3 linked regions of the Saccharomyces cerevisiae S288C genome follow. The gene in region 1 interacts genetically with each later gene. Each region holds a gene or a part of one and is shown on either strand. Other genes may lie near its edges.

Region 1 (7,870 bases):
TATCTCCGCGACGGGGAATTGAACCCCGATCTGGCACGCGACAAGCGCCCATTCTGACCATTAAACTATCACGGAAGTAACTCGAGTGTTCGATTTTCAACTAGCAATATATCATATTGTTAGATACTTGCGGAACAAACAAAAATAATTACATTGGGAAAGTCGCTTTTCCATTTGTGGTGACCGCTACCCTTAGGAACAGGAACCTTAAGCTAACAAGGTAATTTCTTAGCTTCCTCTGCATTCTGTCTTGCCTTCTCCAGAGGATCCAAAATGGTGTTCGAAGCTTTTGCAGAGACAATATTTTCAAAAGATGGGCCCAAATTAAGAGTTCCTTTGAACTCTGCGATCCTTCTTCTCTTCCTTTGAAGTTTTCTTCCATGCGCTCTCTTTAGTCTCTAAACCTGTATCGTCAGCAGTATGCACTTGGGTGACATGTAAAAGTTTTCCAAATGCACTTTTCTTTCCAAGTGTAAAATAAAGCATTTCCGGATGGTCAAAATAAATATATAATACTTATTCCAAGTTTATAAAAGTATATGCGTTTATAATATTAAGTATATATGTATATATACGGGGAAGTGAACGTAGTGGTTATGTTATTATTTAGTCGTCAAAAAAATTGGGAAACCTGTGACAGAAAAAGGGAAAAAAAAGTTCTGTAATATGCATAAATTATTAGGAATTGAATCGGAAAAAGAAGAACGAAATGACCGAGGGTGATTTTAAGAAGAAAAGTTATGGCAAAGCTGCTTTCGCTATGATTTAATAGTTCGTGATATTTAAGCCGTTGTTTGGTTTCGTGTAATAGTTCTCGTCGATGCTAGCTTCGCTGTCATCATAAACACGATGAATGTTTTCATCGTGCATTACTTCATCTGCGTCGTTGTAATCTTGACTATTACTATTCGACATTGAATATGATGCAGATTTAGTAGGTGAGTATTGATCATCTATGCCTCTGTTATGGAAGTTGGATGATAGGTTTTCATCATTAGCGTCGTCGTCGTCGTCGTCGTCGTAGCCTTCAACATTAGTGTGTTTAGGGGTGTAGGGGTTGTCATTGTTAAGTATATCTTCTGGATCGATATCACCAAAATTCTGAATATTATTGCTGCCGATGGGGGAATCTGAGCTGAATCTTTCTGTTTCACCAATTTTTTTACCCAGCAAGAAATACCATATTTTGGTGAAAATGTTACTACGATAAGCTGTGACAATTTTACCGTCAGAGTCAATGAAATCCGTTTTTTTAGGCTGAACACAAAACATGTAAATCAATATTAGTAGAATTAGGATGAGGGGGGCACCTATGCCAACCACACAACCGATGATAATATTACGATTCTTTTTTGATAAGCCTGAGTGATGTGAATTTTTTCCTGAAGATGCGGATGCTGTCGGTGAATACGTTATTGTGGTATAGTAGTTAGAGAGGATGGTCTGGCCTTCTATTATACTAGTTATGGTTTTTGCCAAATTGGAATATTCGGAAGCGGGAGTAATAGAAGATGAGGCGGATGTAGAAGTGATTGATGAGGTAGGGTTTGAGGAAGATGAAGATGAAAATGAAGGATATGACGAAGACGAGTATATGGATGAAGAGGAAGATGTGGAGAGGGTGAAATATGATGATGATGATGATGATGATGATGAGGATGAGGATGATGATGAGGATGATGAGGATGAGGATGATGAAAATGAGGAGGAGTAGGAAAAGAGGGTGGATGAGGATGAGGATGATGAGTACGAGGATGATGTCAATTCGGATGAGGACGAAGGTGGAGATGAAGTTGAAGAGGAGGGAACGTACACTGAAGAAGTCGAAACGGATGTTGAAATTGAAGAGGAAATCAAAGAGCTTGAACTTTCCGAACTAAACGTAAACGTTGACGAAGACGTAGAGATAACCAACGATGAGCTAGTGGAAAGTGTGGAGGAGGCAACTGTCGAAGATGTTGATGCCACAGTGAATGTCGGCAGTGATGATGACGATGATATTATTGTTGATGATGAAGAGGAAGGAGATATTGATGATGATGACGATGATGACGTAACCTCCGAAGAAGACGACGATGTTGAAGACGACGAAACTTGCATGGACGAAGAGGAAAGTTCTGAGGATAATGTTGACGAAAGAGTAAGCAGTGAAGAACTTTGTGGGAAGGAAGTAAAGGATACTGAAGCTATACTCGGCGTTGATAAACTTGCGCTGCTCGTTGCATCGGTACTGGACGTAAATGACTCAACTGCGGAAAGCGAAGTGATGGAAGGAGCTGTGCTCGATGTTGTGCTATTAGCTGGAACCAACTCCTGCGAAAGAACACTTAGCGGTAGTGTTGTTAACGCCATGAGAATCGTTCTCCACATAGATAGGCTTGAAGCAGAGCTCTTCTTCCTGGTCGGATTGCAGCTTGCCATACCTTAACTACTTATATTATACTAACTGGGAGTAAGTTAAAAGTGGAAACGAAGATCGAACCAACCCGAAATGAACTAGAAGTGTTTAAACAAATTTCGGAAGCAATGGAGGATTATATCCCAATTATCTCCTCGGAATATATCCTTATTATGCCTTGGTCTTCCAATATGGACCGAAGAGTACTTACAGTAAATAGCAGTATCCTTCGTTTTTCATCTACACTTTTCTACCTAAAATTGATCTTCCCGAAGAAGAAAAACTAAAAACTTCGATTTGATGACTGTCAAGACCCCAAGAAAGAGGGAAAAAAAAAAATGATATCTCATGCAACAACAAGTAATTAAGTGCTCCTTGTTCATGGAAGACACAACAGGCACCACTAATAACCTGAATGAGGCACCTTCGACTTTCGAGATGAGCCCTTAGTTCATCCTGGTGTTGTGTTTGAGAGGGGGAGAGCACATCATTGTACTTCCAGATCCCCCTAGCCATGATCTAATATTACCGCTGAGTAAAAATAGATCTCGGCTGCGTCTCCGTCTCCGCCCGCCTTCCGTCGGTTACTTCGTCGGTTCTTGCTCGACCCCCGCCAGTCCGCAGACAACAGTCCGCAGCAGGCAAGTGCTGGTGTCCGCTTGGTGTTTTTACGTACGATTGTCTTTGTTGTTGTTTTTACTCTTTATTACAGTTATTACTACTGTTTGTTTAGTATATACAGGTATTTGTGGTATTGATTATTTATTTACGGTTTGGTTGGATTAAGCGTTGCTAGCGTTAGTGTACAACGACGTCACTTCGTCGATGTCCTCGAGCGCTGTGGTCAGTTTCTGTAGTTTCTCGAGCGTTTCATCGCCTTGCACGAAAACTTCCATATCCGGCTTGGCATTGTAGCCGATGCCCAAGTCTCTGATGTGGAAACCACGCTCCTTCAGTAGGGCGGCCACCTTATTGGTATCGGCAGGTTCCATCACCGCCTCGTAAGTTTGGCCTGTAGTTTCAGTTTCGGTATCACACTCTAAATCTTCTGCGTCTTCCTGCACAGGCGCAATGTCTTCGATGCCTTGAATCTCCAGTACGCTTTCTAGCACCTTGTCCTCAGTGTCTAACATCTTCGGAGGTACCATTGTAACGTATCCTTTTTTGTCGAAGAAAAACAACGTTGGAGTCATCGATCCATTAGCTTTATTAAATGCACTCCTTATCAGACCTATGGTCCTGTTCTTGTTGTCTGTCAGCGCTTCCACCACTATAGCGACCCCGCCGGGCCCCATTCCCTCGTATACACATAGCTCAGAAGCGTTTGAGTCCTTGCCCGATGCGCTGCTTCCAGAAGCTTTCCGGATGGCGTTCTCAATAACTTTTTTGCTGACATTGTTTTTATTTGCTAGCTCGATGCTGGTGGCTAATCTTATATTCATGCTCGGATCCGTAATACCGTTGCCTAACTTGACTGACATTGCTATCTGGTTTGCAAACTTGTTATTAATTTTGTTTCGTTCCGCATCATTCTTGGCTTTACCGTGCTTGATGGTTGACCATTTGTTGTGACCTGAACGTACCGAGGAATTCAGCACACTAAACGATCGAGAGTTTTTGAGCAGTTCACCCAGATACCTATTTCTTACCAACATTTTCCAATTTTTGATGCGTTCATACCAAGTTTGCTGTTTTTCTTAGTTATTATCATCATCTTTCCCCTTATTGCTGCTGAAACTTGCGTACGTGCGTACTAAAAAAATTTCACTGCGCTTACGCCGGTAAAGGGAAGTAGGAAAACGAAAGAAAAAAAAAAAATAAAGGCGAACGATAACAGGAAAACCAACGTGAATTGCAAGCACTACATTTATTATATCGAGTTGACAAAGAATTAAGAAAATAGAGCACTACATTTCTATATTCATAGCTAGTCTCACTGACGCATAGTAACTAAATCATGGCTGAGAAACGTACTCTTATAGCTGTGATAGCTGACGAAGATACTACAACTGGTTTATTGTTAGCCGGGATTGGACAAATCACTCCTGAAACCCAAGAAAAGAACTTTTTTGTTTACCAAGAAGGTAAGACTACTAAGGAGGAAATCACTGACAAGTTTAATCACTTTACTGAAGAGAGAGACGATATTGCCATCCTTCTAATCAACCAACATATCGCGGAAAACATAAGAGCTAGAGTGGACTCCTTCACCAATGCGTTCCCTGCTATTTTAGAAATTCCATCTAAAGATCATCCCTACGACCCTGAAAAGGACTCTGTATTGAAGAGAGTCAGAAAGTTGTTCGGTGAGTAAGCGAACGATCTTTCCCAAAACAAACACAATTACTGGTAGATTACTAGTAGCAGGCGGAGGTGGAGGGCGGGAGCCACTGTTATTGCGTTTGTATAATATATACACTCATAAATGATATATTTAAGGTTCAGATAAAAACAACTTTTTTTTTTTTAGCACGTCTTTACTGCAGTCACCAAACCCATTTTTTTTTTCCTATTGTGAATACCCGCCCATATTTTTCACACACAACTGATGAGTAATATAAAACTTTTCTTTAAAATTATAACAAGATACACATATATAAAGACCAAAAAAGGGAACGTGACACGGCCTCGCTAATATACAATCATAATTCATTAACTGATTTGGCTAATGCTTCAATAAAGATATCAGCATGCTTCTCCTCGAATGTTAATGAAGGTCTTAATCTCACTGCATGGACTGCACATCCACCAACGTTGCAACCATTCAACTTCAATTTCTTCAATAGTAAGTCTCTCTTCTCACCAGTAGGCAAATCCCAGGCAATGAATGTGCCTCTTCCTTTACCTCTCAAGTTTTGAAAGTTTTCAGGGTATTTCTTCTGCAAACCCTCCAATTTCTTGAACAAATAATCACCTACTCTTGAACATTGTTCAGTCAACTTCTTGTCGGAGATTTCCTGTCCAATGGCACCTGCAATGATCATTCTTGCAGGTTCACCACACCATGTGTTGAATTGTCTGTATGGTTTGTTTGGAATGAATTTAGGGTCGTGGAAGAAATATCCTGCACTTTGGAATTTCTTGGAAAAGGTCACTAAATCCACAGGTGGTTGAATATCGGCGTACTCATGACACCATAGCTTACCGGTGGCTCCGACACCTGTTTGCACTTCATCTATGATGTAGACAACGTTATACTTCAAGGTAATGTCTCTTAGCTTTTGTAAGAAATACTTAGAAGCGTGGTTATCACCTCCCTCAGATTGAATTGGTTCGATGATTAAGGCAGCAACTGGAATAGACCAGGTTTTGATTAATTCTTCAACAATGGCCAAGCAATGGTCATCCTCTTTACGGTTTGCATCAGAATTTTCATCTAATGGGTATTGGTAAGATGGATACTCAGCATGAGGCCAGTGGAAGGCTGGGAAATCCAACTTGTGAATTGGTTTAGAACAAGTTGTGGAACCGGAGGCAAACAATCTACCGTGGAACGCTCTCTTGAACGATAGTACGGCAAGATGAGGGGCGCCAGGGGCGTCATTGTCCATGACAGACAAGTTTTCCTTTTCAGAAAAATCGGCATCATAGCCCCTTTGTTTGGCACGGTAATAAATAAAGGCAGCCTTGAACGCTAATTCATTGGCATCTGCACCGGAAAGCCCTGACCAGACGTGATCTTGACCCTTTGGCGCAGATTTCAATATTTGCTTCAATATCTTGTCTAAATCCTTAGATGGGAAGTTACCTAAGGCAGGACGGTCGACCAAAGCACGGATCATTTCTGGTGATTGTGCTGCCTTGATCAAAGCAGGGTTGTTATAACCAAGTGCAATTGAAGAGATTTGGGCATACAAATCCAAATATGTGTTCCCATCCACATCAGTGATATAGTTACCTAAAGATTTCTCATAATCAGCCAAAAAATATGCTGGTCTTGTGTCAAAAACTTCACCCAGTTCCTTTAACTGCTTCTGGGATTCAGGACCAGGAATGGACTCGGTCTTAACAGTTGGTTTGGTTGGCTCTTCTGGGTAGTATTGTTCACAAATAGACATTGTTCTTAGTTATATTTCTTATTGACGGTTTCTTGTCTGTTCTTTCTGTAATGTAACACAGTAAGTGAGTATTTTGGGAGAAGGAAAAATCCTAAAACTATTGAAATTACAAATGGCCTTATATACAAATATATGTGAAAACCTGAACCAGATTCCCTTAAATCATTACATCCCGCGAGATTACTCACTTAATTTTACAGTAAACAGATCTGGCGCTTGCTTATACTACTGGAGACAAATCATATCCAATCACCGCACCAATGGATAAACATATTTGCCGTCCAAAGCGGCGATTGCTTTGTTCTATTATCTATCTCTTCCTTCAAGCGCCTTTGATTAGATTAACTGCCGGTGCCACTACCCACAGGAATCCCGCCCGCGGCTTTTGTCAAGCGTGGTAAAATCGCCGACGCTGATAATATACTATGATTAATGGATAGTTGGAAAGATTGTTTTTGTACAGAGATTAACTATATAGGTAGAAATCGAGATAGCGCGAATACAAAGCATTAACCATCGCGAACGTTAGCAATAATGATTGACATTTCTCACGGACACACTTCTTGTTCCTCCCACAGATCTTCGTCTTTGCCGTCGGTTTTCTGGAAAATCCATCTTTCACCACCTCTTCCCTCTTTCAAGTTCAAAAAATCAACAGAATCAACACAAAGACAGACAATACCAAAGTTTTCCAGTCCAGCGTCCTCTTTAGCACCGTCAACTCCTCTATGGAGTTTGTCCAGTTGTTTGCTAGTTTCAGAGGTAAGTTTCTGGCCCGGGGCTGGCTTCCTATACAATGACTTGGTATGCCTTGATAGAGAGGACCATTGTCTTAGTAATTCAGCCTCCCATTCTTGTGGTTGAGGGTAGTAGTCGTCTTCATCCTCATGGTGTTCATCGTTCTCTATGGATTCTATAAGTTTGTTATCTTCGTTAATGTCATTATTGTCGGCGTCATTATTTTTATCGTCGTCGTCGTCGTCGTTAATTGGAGTATCTATTTCTTCGTCAGTGCTGTCATCATTTGTCTCTGAAAACCGCGGTGAAAATATGTCATACTTGGTTACAATCTCAGCCGGTATTTTCTTAAATTGTTTAGATATTGTAAAGCATTGGCCACTGAAGCGATACTGCTCCCAAGTTTCCGGGAAATAGAAACATGCTTCGAAAAATGGAGTCTCACATCTTTTGCTGTCGCTAGAGTTATTTGAATTTGGAGTTATAAATGATTCAGTTATCTTTGAGCTCCTCATATCAGTGTTAAAAGTCAACACATTAGTTCTTTTGTCATGAAATAAAAAATCTCTGAACACTACCGTTCTACAACGTGGTTTGTTCGTTAGTTCGTCAACAGTAGCAAATTGAAATGATACAAACGGTTCAGTGTTATTTTTGCACGATTGAATAAACATGG
Region 2 (8,114 bases), on another chromosome or scaffold:
GATGCATGCGGAAGTTATTGCCCTTACCAACAACATCATCGCTAATGTGGCGTTCGTCATCAGCATCGAAAGTGGATAAAGCTTCGAAAGATTTAGGCAAGCTTCCATTTTTCACATTATTGCCGTTGCTTCCCAATTTATCCATCATTTTTTTGATTGCGATACTTCTAAATGTTACCATTGCTTGGAGATAGGGGTCGCGATTTTCAATTGCTCTATCCGTGAACAGACCAAATAAATTATCAGCAGACCTTTTGGTCTCTAAATAAAACCCATTAGGGATGAGGTCAATAAAAAATGGAGTTTCTTCATGAATTGGTAGATAATAAAGTGATGATTGATTTTCAAGTTCTCGTACTCTTTGCCAGTGATCTTCGTCTTGTCTTGTCTGTGACGATCTTCTTTTCTTAATGAAACCTGGACTTATTCGTTCCGCAGGAGTTGATTGTTTCCTCAGAGGGTCAGCATCATTCAATGAAGGACTGCTTTCAGGTTGTCCAGAGCTATCGGTGAGATAGACACAGCTGTCCACATCTCCCAGTCGTACACATGTTCCACATGGTTTCGTTCGATCGCACTTACTTTTCCTTTTTTTGCAATTTGTGCATACTACAGTAATTCGATGTCGTTTTTTTGTCCTAACTTGGGAGTCATATCCCATTATGAGATCAGTTGTCAACTAAAGTCTGGTATCAATTGGTTTCTAGTTTCTTTCTTCTCTTCATAGACTCATAACACTGCAAAATCGCAACAATAAATTCATGACTTATTGTTATGCAAAAAATTACCCGAATGTGAAAGATTAATAAGCTCATCGCAGTCGCAGAAAGAGTGAAAAAAATACCTAAGAATGCCTAAATTAGCTTAAACAAAAGTCATTTCTAGAAAGCAATGAAAAAAGGGCAATCTAATGATACCACCACGAATCGTTCCATGGAGGGATTTTGCTGAACTAGAGGAGCTGAAACTTTGGTTTTACCCGAAAAGCAAAGGAACCATTGAAGATAAGCGACAGCGTGCAGTGCAAAGAGTACAGAGCTACCGACTAAAGGGTTCCCAATATTTACCTCACGTGGTGGACTCTACAGCACAAATAACATGTGCGGTATTGCTAGACGAAAAGGAAGCGTGTTTAGGAGTACATCAGGATTCTATTCCTATCCGGTTATCGTATGTAATGGCTTTGATTCGGTTTGTCAATGGCTTATTGGATCCAACGCAACAATCTCAGTTCGCTATTCCCTTACACACATTAGCTGCTAAAATTGGACTGCCGTCCTGGTTTGTTGATTTGAGACACTGGGGTACACATGAGAGAGATTTACCTGGATTAGAAATGCTTCGTTGGGCCGCCAATGAAGCGTTATCTTGGCTATATGATCACTACTGGAACGATGAGGAATTAGAAGATGACAGGGATGATGATGACGATGATGATGATACCGGTTACGGATACAGAAGAAATGATAAACTGGAGAAATATATGGAGTCATTAACTAAAACACTTGATAAATGGAAGCGACTTAGAAACGAGTTTCTGGAATACAAATGGGTGTGGGAGAATGCAAACGATAGTTTAATTACAAGTAGTAACTTTTCTGGGGATAATTTGGTGAACTATGATGCCGAAAAGAGGAAAAGTTCACACGCAAGTTCATCAGAAACTATGATCAGGGAAAATTTGCGTCAATGGCAAGAACTTTGGAAATTATCCATTTATCACAATGTGGTTCTTGAGAAATTTTTTAACAATTATGACCCACTTTTACTCAAAGTTTTAATGCTTAATTTGAACAATTTTGATTGGAAGGTCATTGAGTGGGTAGCTAGGAATTACAGAACCCAACAAGATGATAGTAATATAACGACAATTTTAAAAAGGAAATTCAATGCCTGGAAAGAACTACAAAAAAGGCTGTTAGATGTTATTATAAATAACCTTAACAATAAAAATTTTAAAAATAAATGGCAAAATTGGGAGAAACTTATTGATGAAAATGCGTCATACTTGATATTGTATTTTTGCCAATCTATGCTGGCCAAACTAGAGACTGAAAAAATTACTGGTAACTCATGGAGAAACAAAAAACGGAGAAAACAAATTGATAGCACAGTGGAAATCGAGGCAAAACTGAAGGAAAACATAGACAATTTATCATTAAGGTTTAATGAAGGTGAAATAAAGCTGTATGATTTTATTCCTGCGGAAAAAGATTCCGTTCCATTGAAGAAGGAAGTGAGTCCGGCATTAAAGGCTGATACCAATGATATACTAGGCGATTTGGCGTCTTTGAAACAGAGAATGAGCAGTTTCGGAACAGTAGGTAAAAAAAATAAACAAGAGGAGAACAGAGCTACACCAGTAAAAAATTGGTCAAGGGTTCAAAATTGGAAACCCAAACCCTTTGGTGTCCTGTAACCTGTTTCCAATGCTCGTTATAAATACGTTGTAGACTATAAAGCTGAGTTGTATGCTGCACCCTAACGTGCATGTATATATAATCACAGTCTCTTTAACCTAATATGCAAACGAAAATGATTTAATCAAAACAACCTCATACTCTATGGGAATAATCTTTCAAGATACCGGTCATATGAGTGTTAGTAATCTTACCCTTTCTTTGTCTCTTCTTTTTAACTTCAACTCTCTTTGTTTGTCTTTTGATAGTAGCAGGATCGACACTAGCAGGCTTTAGACCTAAATCTTGCAGCTTTCTTGGCAATTCTGCAAATTGCGGTAATTGCACATTTTCCCACATTTTAACAAACTCCTCGTCAATACATTTCAAGTTACCACCGCTGTTATACCAAACGTATCTTGGAGTTTTATCCTTTTTAGTTCTTAACACCAAAATTTTGCTGTCTTCCTCCAGTTGGTTAATCGTTTCATCGCATTGTGGCCAACCGTCTTTCAAGTCTTTGCAGGAAATACCTTTGAATGTTACTTGTGAACGTAACAACTTCAGCAGTTCCGAAGGGGAATGGACATCGTAGGTGGAAAGGTATTTGAAAGTCCCCTTCTTGGGGTCAAACTCTATTCTATCTAATTTTTTTAAAAGCTCAATAACCTTGTCATCTTTTTTCATTGACAAGTAGTCCAATAACTCATTCACCAAAACGGGCTTACCTTTCTTTTGAATGTATTCAGTCGCCCAAAGCAACTTTGAAGAATCGTGACTCTTGGAAATATCTGTTTGATTTGCTTGTAAAGCGGCTGCAGCAATAGAGCCAGGCCTTACTTTTTTTGAAGGAGAGCTACCAAAATCTTCGTCGTCATCGTCGTCATCTAATGAAATAGCATTAGAGCTATTGCTCCCAGCTTCTTTCTTGATATCCACTAACACAGGATTTTTCGCAGAGTTCAAAGTGTTTTCTTGCGCACGTTCGGAGGCCGTCCTCTTCCTAGTGTTTCCATCTATAGTAATCACTGTGTCATTGGTCTTCTTCTGTCCAACTTTAGCGGGTGCGATCACCGGGGCAGACTTCACTTTGCTTTTGAAAGCGTTCAAATTAGCCAGTAGAGGGTCCCTGTTTTTACTCATCGCAAAAGACTACTCTCTTTTCCAAATCGAACGAACTACTTGGTATAAAACAGTTCTGTGTAACAGCTTTCTCGTGTTCTACAGAGCACACGGTTATGTAACTAGTTCACTTCTTATTAGCTCTTTTGCCCTGATTCGTAAGTGAACTTCTTACCCGAAGTAAGCTCGCGCTTTTCTTTTTCTTCTCGCATATAACATTTTGACTATAAAAGCCGTGAACTATAGCATTTGCTACCAGAAAGAATTTTTCTTGCCCTGGACCTTTGATGCTTTAAAAAACATTTCTCTTAAAAGAAAGCATAACAATTTGTGATGCTTTAGGGAGCCTATTGTTTGATGGTTTATAGGAGCCGGATTTGTCTTTTTGACTAATTTTCAACCTATTCTTACTTCCAAAACTGTTGCAATGGCTCTCGTTTTTTTTAAATTTTTCTCTTTTCTCTTCTTTGGCATAGTTTATTTTTAATAAATTATTTCAGGGTGAGATAGAGAAAGGATAATGAGTATCGTAGATAAATCTTCGGTTCCGAATAGTGTAACTGTTGGTGCTGAGGTAATCCATCTTTAAAACCATCGCCGTTAGAGGTTGCTTCTGATATTTTCGGTTAAGCGACCCATGAAATGGTGATGACCTGAGGTATGGAACATCTTTCTTGATGGTTACTTTGTTATATATACGTATTTATAGTATGCGGATACACGCTTTTCTCGCTATGAATCGTGTTTGAGGAAGTATTTACCGCTGCCGTCCTTCCACCATCTTCTCAGGCAGCTGATGACATTGAGATCAATATTGTCTGGGTGATTGCTATCACAAAGACATCTTTGTTGAAGTCTCAGGTAGTATGCAGATGGACACGTGCCAAAAGGCATATGCTTATAGCCTAATTCATCAAAATGGATGATTTCGTCTTTTTTCAAAAGAAGTGAGGCAGCAATCGAATGAACTGGTGCATCTCCCCACCTTTCATAGTAAAAACCGCCCTTTGAATCCAAGTACTCGAAAAATCTAATGTATTTCTCACTTCTGAAAAAGTTCAAATCGCCAATTTCAAAATTTGTCCAAAAATGACATAAATTATAGCCGCTGTTACTATCGATGACACCAAAAGATTTACCGATGAAGTCGAAATTTGATACGAACCCGAAAGCGTTGCTTTCCATGTCAATATCTGCTGACTCTGTTTCTTCGAGATATTCTTCTACAGCTTCCCATAGGCTCGGAATTGTATCTTCGTATTCATACATAGTTATCACAAAGCCATATTTCTTATTGTTCTGCCTCATCACCTTGAATGGATCGTAGGGAAAATCGCAAAAATACTCTACATCTGGCTCAACTCTGAAATAAAAATCGTACGGATCTAATATCTTTTGTCTAAAGAAAAATCCAGAATTAAATCGGCACATATTTCTATATGACTTTGACCCACCGTACAAGATATTTTTTTCCTCCATTAATTGTAAAGCCTCTTCAAATAGAGTTTCGTTGATCCAAGATGGCCTGTTCCAGTCCTCCGCAGGGATTAAAGCGTATTGCGTTCTACCACTAGCCATGGCTGTGGTGGCTTCGATGAACTCTTGATCAAATGGGACATCATTAAGAAATGTCCAGTCATACTGGTAGTTTTTATTGAAACGGTCTTCTAGTGATCTCATGGAACGGAGTGCCCCCGAAAGTTCCCAATTACGCACAAGCATTAACAATGTAGCATTTTCTCTTTGATTTTTTATTCCCTTGGTCTTGTTTAGTGGTTCATCATTATAAGTGTTGCTAGATAGCTTCAGCGTCTGATTCATATGTCGCCTCCTTGTAAAATCATATCTCGATGAAACTTCTCGAGATCTTCTAAAAAAATACGAATCTAGGCTCAGCTGTCTCTGATATGGTACAAGTGCAAGCCAACATGTTTGAGCTATCAAGCAAAATAGAAGACTAACAAAAAGTAGTTTTTTAACCTGTGTAAGAAATACCTTGCAGATTTGCATGAAGCTCCTACGCTTTTAAATAAACAACTATTGTATAGAAAAAACGCAAAAAAAGCGTTGCATGTATAGGTGTCACATACCTGAAGAGATATAAAGAATCAAGAATATCATCAGACAGGCAAATGGTGGCTTATTATGTTTATTCTATTTTTATAGGGTGTCTGTTCTTTTTTTTTTCTTTTTTTTTTTCGCTTACTAAATTTCTATAATCTTGCAAATTCTTGAAAGGAATTAAAGTTTAAAACACTTTATTAATGCTATAATTAGTTAGACAAAATCACGCTTTTTCATTGGGAGTGTTTAAATACCGTATTTAAAAGATGATGCTTTAATTTTACAATTTAATATCACTCAGATCTTCATTTTTCTGATTTTCTCTAGCCTCTGAAAACTGATATATAGGCAAACTAGTACTGTTACTGGTCTTGACAAATATAGATATTATTCCTCCTTTAATGACGCCGCCTTGCGGTCTCTTACTTTTATCAGTGAGAAAGTTTATTGTATCTTGGATGTTTTGCAAAATTTCTGGTATGGAGTGTTTTTGAATATAACCGACCCTGACGCTTAAGCAGTTGTCATTATTGGGAATGTATGAGGTATTCTTACATATACTTCTCAATTGTGCTCTCACGTAAATGGGGTCACATTTTTCGACCATTTGTTGACGCTTCAATTTTACTTCTTTCGACATGCGGATCATGTATGGCAATTTTTTACTACCGTGATAAAATCTGCTACCAAGAACCTCCGGAAGTAAGTGGTGAACTCTGTAATCGGCAACGACCAAGTCAAAATCTTTATAAAGTTGGGTCAGTTTACTCCCTTTGAATCTACGTCTCAAGTTCTTGACACTTATAATTTCCTTGAATAATTCCGACGTATGCTCGTCTTTCGTCAAAGTTTCTCTATACAAGGCAGAGGGATCCTTGGTAATGAGTAATATGTTTAGGTCCCTTGGTTTAAATAGCTTGTACTTTGTTAATGGAATAATACGGGGGATGTTGTCCCTGTTTATGCCCATTTTTTTGCCCGTGTTGATGATTATGTGTATGTCCTTATCATTTTTTAAAGATGGGTTCTCTTCACATTGTAAAATTAGAGCCTTTAGTGCTTTCTCTGCCAGCCCACTTTTTATAATATCATTTGACTCAACCATCCCAAACCTCGAGATATAGCGTTTGATGTACACTTTTTCTTTTCAGCTCCAATCTCTATTAGTAGGGCATCGATTTTTTTTTTTTTCCTTTTATATATATTATTTTTTATAAATTTGAAAAATTTCAGATAGATACGTTCGGATATATACAAAAAGACAAAGCAAACAATTAGTATAGGGTATTTCAACCTTCGTGCCGAGAGTCTTTTGGACTTTGAAGAATAATAGGAATGTAAAAAGAAAAACAAATTAAATACAAAAAGCATATATAACTTTTTAGAAATATATGTTACGTTATCAAGATAGCCTCACAAGATACTTTTTTAAGAAGTTTTTGTCTCCCTTAGTTCAACAAAGTAGCGATGTCGGATGGCAATTCTTCAATTTGAGTGGAGTAGAACTTTTCTAGTTCTCTCATAGCGCCAACGTCTTCGTTAGTAACAAAGTTGATGGCAACACCCTTTCTACCGAAACGACCACCTCTACCGATTCTGTGAATATAGTTTTCTTTGTTAGCTGGTAAGTCGTAGTTAATAACCAAAGAAACTTGTTGGACATCGATACCTCTAGCCAACAAATCAGTGGAGATCAAAATTCTGGAAGAACCACTTCTGAATTCCTTCATGATGGTGTCTCTTTCTTGTTGTGGTAAATCAGAGTAGATGGCAGAAACGGTAAATTTGTCGTTTCTTAACTTAGTGGTCAATTCTTCGACCTTTCTTCTGGTGTTACAGAAGATGACAGCTTGAGTAACGGAGATAGAGTCGTATAAATCGGTCAAACACTCGTATTTGTATTCTTCTTCTTCAACATTAACGTAGAATTGTTTGATACCTTCCAAAGTCAATTCATCCTTCTTAACCAAAATTCTAACTGGGTTTCTCATAAATTTGGTGGTAACTTCCAAGACGTCATTTGGCATGGTGGCGGACAATAGAACAACTTGAGTGGTTGGTGGAAGTAAGGTGAAAATTTGGTAGATTTGTTCCTTGAAACCAGAAGACAACATTTCATCAGCTTCATCTAAGATGAACATCTTGATCTTGTCAGTTCTGAATCTACGTCTTTGGATGTTGTCAAAAACACGACCTGGAGTACCAACGACGATTTGAGCATCTCTCAAACCTTCAGCGTCTTCAACAAAGGAAGTACCACCGATACAAGCGTGGACCTTGATGTCCATGTGGAAAGCCAAAGCCATGACAACCTTTTGGATTTGCAAAGCCAATTCTCTAGTTGGAGCCAACATCAAAGCTTGAGGAGCCTTGACAGAGGTGTCAATTCTTTGCAAAGCAGCAATGGAAAAGGTACCGGTCTTACCAGTACCAGATTGAGCTTGAGCCAAGACATCGTGACCTTCAATAATAGGCATGATGGCACGTTGTTGAATGGCAGATGGTTCTTCGAAACCGTAACCGAAAACA
Region 3 (7,734 bases), on another chromosome or scaffold:
CAAATAAATGAGAGTGCGCTGCTGTGAGGGCACAACGGTTACATTCTACGCCTTCGATGATTTCAGGTTTACTCCAGTCGCTTAATAACTGAGATAATTTTAAAGTGGAACCAATATTCTCGTTCGGTAAATTTAAGCTTAATCCCGAAAATACGGAATATCTTATGCCACCGTTCTCACCACACTGTAAACAACCAATTCTTTCTGCCGTGATACCATCTAAAGGAGTCATTAGTTTGAAAGGTGTGAAATTTTGAATGGACTTGTCATGTAGTATAGAGTTAGGATCAATCTGTTCAGTTGGAATGTAAACAGTGCCAACTTCACCAAGGTTAAGTTGACCTACTAAAGCATCATCGGGTAATTCTGATTTCGCAACTGGAGTGGTATCTAGTTTTTCAGTATTCAATGATTTAACGTTACTTTCCAACTCGGCTAGTATGTTCTGGAAGAATTCTTGCGCGTCCTCTTGGTCGTAGCCAAGAAGAATATTTTTTCTTGGAGATTTGGACATTGCTTTCAATAAACTATTGGTTTTGAAATAGGGTTTATCCCGATAATACTTCGCATTTAAGGCAGAAAGTAGATCCCTTAAGGCGACACTGAAAGTGATATCTGGCTCCTGGCTCTTTTCTTCGTCTTCTTTCGAACTTGACTTCCTATTCAATTTCTTCTTATGCTTACCATAAACTTTGCCACCCTTACGAGTGTTTTTCTTATGAGTGGCTTCATCTTGAGCAGATTCTTGCCCGTTTCCTTCTTCATTGTGTTCATTTTGTTCTATCTCCTCATAGGTCCTTATGACATTATTGTCCAAGAACTCCATTAATTCTCTGGATGATGCCAATGATTGCAAAACAGAGTTCATAAAACAAGTGTTACCATCATTAACTAAACCAGCAATGAAACCACCTCTTTTCAAGATCTCTTCGTCTAAGTGGGTAAACTTACTTCTGGGCAACCAACGGCTAAGGCTATTATTATTTCTGAAGTTTGTTGTCATTTCACTAACGCTCTCAACAATGTAGTTTAGATGGTCTGGTTTTTTATAAAAAAATACTACTATGCCAAAAATTAATAAATAAATCGATAGATTGTTATTGTTGTTACTCCAAGTTTTAAAATTTCTCAAAAAATCCTGTCGGGAACCAAATAAAAATTGTAATAAACTGTTTATCTTGCTTTCAATAAACAAATCCATACAAAATTTTGTAGATTAAAAGGGGAGAAGTGTTCGAAAGTATCTAGTTTCGAACAAGGGAGGGCACTGAAGACGTAAAATGATCAGACGTTATAATGGAAAAGAAAGGAGAAGCGAATTTTGACAATCGCTTCTATTCTTTGAATGTGTATAAAATTTTTTTTTCCTGAGAAAAAAAAGGACGCAGATCACAATATTAAAAGCAATACTATGGCGTGCTTTTAAAGCAAAAAATGTTTCTGTTTTTTAAATATATAACCAATAATTATTGTATAATAGATTTAACTAGCCTGGCCATCTTGAAAATTTTGTGGTGCTAGTGAAAAATGTATTTTCGTTTTCCAATGATGGAAAAAGAAACTTGCCTACATAGATGTCATTCTGTACGTAAAGAGGAAAAGAAGGGATATAGCAGAATACACGTATGAAGGTAGGAAGGTTTCCAACAGGCGCTTACTGGTAGTATGATATATGGACATTCAGTGACGTTTATGGGAAAAACATTACGGCTTACAGATCCGCAAAATAGTTATAGGCTCGAGGGAGCTGGCGGTATTGATCGAAGAAGCTGTCAAAATGAAATACATTTCTTAATGGCAGCTCTTTTACTTTGACTGGCAAACCTCTTTGCTAAGGAAGATCATAGGAAAGAGAAGAACGGTCTTCGCTTGCTTGCTTGCTGGAATTTTCATTTTCCTTGCTGTAGCTTCATCATGGCACATAAGGAGGAGGAGACTCAACCAGAGACTGTTTGTTGTCATGGGGAGCTGCGCCTTGTAACAGAGGAGTTTCAACGCTCGGGTATACGTTTCTAGCGGAGCTTCCTTGTTGTGGGCGGTTTTGGGGGGTCTGCGAGTTTTGAGGACGATTCGAAGGAACGTTTCTTTCGCTATCCACCCAGCCTTGCTGGTAATAATAGACGTATTCAGCGTTCCTTAAAGGACTTGTAATTGTGATGTAGTAGAATGCGTGTAACATACCGGGCAAAAATCCCAGTAGCGTTAGCAATACATTCAGGAGGAAATCAGATGAACAAGGCCCAGATCGAAGAAGGACTGCAGCTGGGGGGAAAAAAAACGCAACAATATACAGTATAAAGTCAGAAACGGTACAACAAACACAGTAGCAACACATGATGCGCGTCCCTATCTGTCTCTGCTCAGTGTGGCACCTTTATTGGGGAGATGCCCTCTTCCGGTATTTTTTGATGGCCTTTTATATAATGTACAGCCCTTTTTTCTTCCTCGATGCTGAAAAGTGGCGGGATGGGTAACGGGGTGATAAACCTGACAAAAAAAGTCGATTAATAAAGTTATACAAAACAAATATGACTCGTACATAAATTATCCGGTATTTATACTTTTTGAGCAGCGTAGTTGTATTTACCGTACAATTTATTCCAATACAATCTTAGCGGTTCATGTTCCAAGCCCAACTCCGTTATCTTATCGACTTCCTCAGCCGTCAAGTCGAAAGAGAATAAATTTTGCGCGTCAGAAATTCTTTGAGGTTTGGAAGAGGTGGTTACAGGCAACACGCCACGTTTGGTCACCCAACGTAGGATAATTTGGGCTTCAGATTTGATATATTTCTCGGATAACTCTTTCACGTATTCGAAAAACGGTTGAGAGTCATCTTGTGCTGTTTTCTTTTGTAAGGGACCTAGTGGCGAGTATGCTTCTACCAATATATCATGTTCTTGGCAAAATTTGTAGATCCCTGGTGTTTGATTCTGCAAGAAGGGACTGAACTCAATTTGATTAACTTGGGGCTTGACTTCCGCAACTTTCAGAATTCTTTGCAAGTCTTCCACAGCAAAGTTGGAAACACCGATATTTTTAGCTTTACCTGATTTGTACAATTGCTCCATGTCCTTCCAGGCTTCCTCCAAACTTAACCCGTTGACCTCTTTGGAAACAAATGGGCTATGCAAAAGGTATAGATCGACATAGTCAGTGCCCATCTTCTTCAAAGCTAAATCTAGTCCATCCGCTGGGGAATCTGACATCTTGATTTGAGGTGAGTACTTGTCTGTCAAGAATATTGCATTTCTTGGTTTTTCGGTGAGGCTAAGTGCCTTCCCAACTTCTGGATATGTTCTGTAGATCTCAGCAGCATCAATGTGAATAATGCCAGGTAACTTCAGAGCATAAACAATCTGTTCGACCAAACTGTTCGAAAAGGTAGCATCCGTTTCTTCGTTTTTATACCATCTAGTACCTGTCCCAATGATGGCGATTGCGGGGATTTTATTTCCATTATTCAAGGTAAAGAACTGTTGGTGAAATGACATCTGTAAAAGTGTTGTTAACTGACCTCCGTTTCTTTAGGGTAACACAACCGTTTACATGTGTATCCATATCCACGTAGTATCCGACTATCAATATATCCGTATATATATATATATATATATGGGATGAGCGTATGTGAGTGTTTTCGTAGATATTCAAAATACGAGTAAAGGAGATCCTAGGTGTGGATTAGTAAGGGGAGTGTGGCAACTTCCTTTTTCCGGTTAATTCTCCGCGCTTTCGTTAGACTATTTTGCAAGGACCCAAATAGGAGACGCATGGAGGCTTCTACAAAACAGCGTGCCGTTTTGATGGCATGAGCAGGGGGCGCAAAGGAAACACCGGTAAATCGCGCAAGACCTTGTTGGCCACGTAGCCTCAAAGGTTGAATTGACACTTGTCTACAGAACTTGAAAAGTACAAAAGGAGGTCACATAAAACAGTAAGCTTGAGAAGCTTTAAGATATGGTGCGAATCGTTACAGAATATTCCTTGCAGAAATAATGGCGGGTCCGTTCTCTTCTGAAGAAGTTACCGCCCTACTGAAGCATTGCTGTACGATCGTGTAATGTGATGTGTGTTCGACTGGAAAGCGGAGAACATTATGAAGTAAAAGGACAATCAGCACGCCTTCCAGACTTTTAAGAAACATTGATGGAGCCATTGATATCGGCACCGTACCTAACAACAACAAAAATGTCTGCTCCTGCTACGCTTGATGCTGCCTGTATTTTTTGCAAGATTATTAAAAGTATGTCACATTACTAATAAAGAGCTTACACTCACACCAATGATGGCGATAGTCTCTATGTAGTACATATACATAAAGCAGAATACTAACAATCGATCCGCTATGCAACAGGCGAAATTCCATCCTTCAAATTGATTGAAACAAAGTACTCGTATGCTTTCTTGGACATCCAACCTACTGCTGAAGGTCATGCTTTAATCATTCCTAAGTACCATGGTGCGAAGTTGCATGACATCCCGGACGAATTCCTTACCGATGCTATGCCGATTGCCAAGAGACTGGCCAAGGCAATGAAGTTGGACACTTATAATGTGTTGCAGAATAATGGTAAAATTGCGCATCAAGAAGTCGACCACGTCCACTTCCATTTGATTCCTAAGAGAGATGAGAAAAGTGGTTTGATTGTAGGGTGGCCAGCCCAAGAAACGGACTTCGATAAGTTGGGCAAGCTACACAAGGAATTGCTTGCCAAACTAGAAGGCTCCGATTAGAGTAATGCATGCTATGATTTCTTTTAGCGTTTTCTTTTCATATTTAAGTTTATACATATGGGTGTGTTTGCTTCCATTCATATCCACTCTATAATGCTAACAATCATGTTACTAGCCATCGTTGCTATCGATACCTTATGAACAGCTCTAACTCCTTCCTTTTTAACCTACCGCCTTTTGCGCACTACCCGGCAACCCCTCGAATGTGAATTCGGTGGCAAAAAAGGACATATATCAGGGCCGTGTATTTAAGAGATCCGCAGTTGATGTAGTCAATTAATCTAGTTCTATTAAGATTTGACTCAACGCCATTGACTCGATAACTGGCTCAACTACAAGACAGATATACAAATCATGGGTGAAGAACATAAACCACTTTTGGACGCCTCGGGTGTCGACCCTCGTGAGGAGGATAAAACCGCCACCGCCATTTTAAGAAGAAAGAAGAAGGACAACATGCTTTTGGTGGACGATGCTATCAATGATGACAATTCTGTCATTGCTATTAATTCTAACACCATGGACAAATTGGAATTGTTCCGTGGTGACACCGTTCTCGTTAAGGGCAAGAAGAGAAAAGATACTGTCTTAATTGTGTTGATCGATGACGAATTAGAAGACGGAGCATGCAGGATAAACCGTGTAGTTCGTAACAATTTACGTATTAGGCTGGGTGATTTAGTTACAATTCATCCTTGCCCCGATATCAAATACGCTACTAGAATTTCTGTGTTACCAATTGCTGATACGATCGAAGGTATAACTGGTAATCTTTTCGATGTTTTTTTGAAGCCTTATTTTGTGGAAGCCTACAGACCAGTGAGGAAAGGCGACCATTTTGTTGTCAGAGGCGGTATGAGACAAGTCGAATTCAAGGTTGTGGATGTCGAACCTGAAGAATATGCCGTCGTTGCTCAGGATACTATTATTCACTGGGAAGGTGAGCCAATCAACAGGGAAGATGAAGAAAATAATATGAATGAGGTGGGTTACGATGATATTGGTGGTTGTCGTAAGCAAATGGCTCAAATTAGGGAAATGGTTGAACTACCATTGAGACATCCTCAGTTGTTCAAGGCTATCGGTATCAAGCCACCAAGAGGTGTTTTGATGTATGGTCCCCCTGGTACTGGTAAAACCTTGATGGCAAGAGCTGTTGCTAATGAGACCGGTGCCTTTTTTTTCTTAATTAATGGTCCAGAAGTCATGTCAAAAATGGCTGGTGAATCAGAGTCTAACTTAAGAAAGGCCTTTGAAGAAGCCGAAAAGAACGCTCCAGCCATCATTTTTATCGATGAAATCGATTCTATAGCTCCAAAGAGAGACAAGACTAATGGTGAAGTTGAGAGAAGAGTTGTCTCTCAATTGTTAACTTTAATGGATGGTATGAAGGCAAGATCTAATGTTGTTGTCATTGCTGCTACCAATAGACCAAATTCGATTGATCCCGCTTTAAGAAGATTTGGTAGATTCGATCGTGAAGTCGACATTGGTATCCCAGATGCTACAGGTAGACTTGAAGTTCTACGTATTCACACCAAGAACATGAAGTTGGCTGATGATGTTGATTTGGAAGCATTGGCTGCTGAAACACACGGTTACGTGGGTGCTGATATTGCCTCTTTGTGTTCTGAAGCTGCCATGCAACAGATCCGTGAAAAAATGGACTTGATAGATTTAGATGAAGATGAAATTGATGCAGAGGTGCTCGATTCTTTAGGAGTCACCATGGACAACTTCAGATTCGCATTGGGCAATTCAAACCCATCTGCATTGCGTGAAACCGTTGTTGAAAGTGTCAATGTTACTTGGGATGACGTTGGTGGCCTAGATGAAATCAAGGAGGAATTGAAGGAAACTGTAGAATACCCAGTCTTACATCCAGACCAATACACAAAGTTTGGGTTATCACCATCAAAGGGTGTGTTGTTCTACGGTCCACCAGGTACAGGTAAAACTTTGTTAGCAAAAGCTGTAGCTACTGAGGTTTCTGCCAACTTTATCTCAGTCAAAGGTCCAGAATTATTGAGTATGTGGTATGGTGAATCGGAATCTAACATCCGTGATATTTTTGATAAGGCAAGAGCAGCTGCACCAACCGTCGTTTTTCTAGATGAATTAGACTCCATTGCCAAGGCAAGAGGTGGTTCCTTGGGTGATGCTGGTGGTGCTTCGGATAGAGTCGTCAACCAACTATTAACAGAAATGGATGGTATGAATGCTAAGAAAAATGTGTTCGTGATTGGTGCCACCAATAGGCCAGATCAAATTGATCCTGCTATTTTAAGACCTGGCAGATTGGATCAATTAATTTATGTTCCATTGCCAGATGAAAACGCTAGATTATCTATTCTAAATGCTCAATTAAGGAAAACACCACTAGAACCAGGGCTAGAGTTAACTGCGATTGCCAAGGCCACTCAAGGTTTCTCTGGTGCTGATTTACTCTATATTGTGCAGAGGGCTGCTAAATACGCTATCAAGGATTCTATCGAAGCTCACAGACAACACGAAGCTGAAAAGGAAGTGAAAGTAGAAGGTGAAGACGTGGAAATGACAGATGAGGGAGCAAAGGCTGAACAAGAACCAGAAGTAGATCCTGTTCCATATATTACAAAGGAGCATTTCGCAGAAGCTATGAAGACCGCTAAACGTTCTGTTTCAGATGCTGAATTGCGTCGTTATGAAGCATACTCACAGCAAATGAAAGCATCTAGAGGTCAATTCAGTAATTTCAACTTTAATGACGCTCCATTAGGTACTACGGCTACGGACAATGCTAACAGTAATAATAGTGCTCCAAGTGGAGCAGGTGCTGCATTTGGTTCTAATGCGGAGGAAGATGATGATTTGTATAGTTAGTTATATGCCAGGTATATTTTTATTTTAAATCGTAAATTCAAGTCATTTCTATAAAAAAAATCGTCAATTTTAACTCAATATTTTATGGCCCTTTTTATATTTATTTTCAAATTTGTCAAAAAAAGGAGAGCTAAATCA

What was found.
Region 2: mutations in DPC29 (region 1) and TFA2 together harm fitness less than expected from each alone (positive genetic interaction), as found in Saccharomyces cerevisiae (2 studies listed by BioGRID).
Region 3: mutations in DPC29 (region 1) and YDL124W together harm fitness more than expected from each alone (negative genetic interaction), as found in Saccharomyces cerevisiae (2 studies listed by BioGRID).

Annotation. Positions count from the first base shown.
Region 1 is NC_001139.9:523,815-531,684, reverse strand, and holds DPC29 (post-initiation translation factor DPC29), read right to left. Parts: upstream 4,054-7,870; coding exon 3,181-4,053; downstream 1-3,180. Other genes in the region: MTL1 (Mtl1p), read right to left, coding at 766-2,421; VMA7 (H(+)-transporting V1 sector ATPase subunit F), read left to right, coding at 4,356-4,712; UGA1 (4-aminobutyrate transaminase), read right to left, coding at 5,041-6,456; YGR018C (uncharacterized protein), read left to right, coding at 6,991-7,320; YGR017W (uncharacterized protein), read right to left, coding at 7,005-7,870.
Region 2 is NC_001143.9:555,094-563,207, reverse strand, and holds TFA2 (transcription factor TFIIE subunit TFA2), read right to left. Parts: upstream 3,543-8,114; coding exon 2,556-3,542; downstream 1-2,555. Other genes in the region: OAF3 (Oaf3p), read right to left, coding at 1-661; rRNA-processing protein LAS1, read left to right, coding at 911-2,419; mannosyltransferase KTR2, read right to left, coding at 4,254-5,531; UTP30 (Utp30p), read right to left, coding at 5,866-6,690; TIF1 (translation initiation factor eIF4A), read right to left, coding at 7,034-8,114. UniProt on the Saccharomyces cerevisiae protein: Recruits TFIIH to the initiation complex and stimulates the RNA polymerase II C-terminal domain kinase and DNA-dependent ATPase activities of TFIIH. Both TFIIH and TFIIE are required for promoter clearance by RNA polymerase.
Region 3 is NC_001136.10:236,019-243,752, reverse strand, and holds YDL124W (aldo-keto reductase superfamily protein), read right to left. Parts: upstream 3,495-7,734; coding exon 2,556-3,494; downstream 1-2,555. Other genes in the region: ubiquitin-specific protease UBP1, read right to left, coding at 1-1,201; SNA4 (Sna4p), read right to left, coding at 1,913-2,335; HNT1 (adenosine 5'-monophosphoramidase), read left to right, coding at 4,147-4,243, 4,355-4,734; AAA family ATPase CDC48, read left to right, coding at 5,089-7,596. UniProt on the Saccharomyces cerevisiae protein: Reduces aromatic alpha-keto amides, aliphatic and aromatic alpha-keto esters, but not beta-keto esters.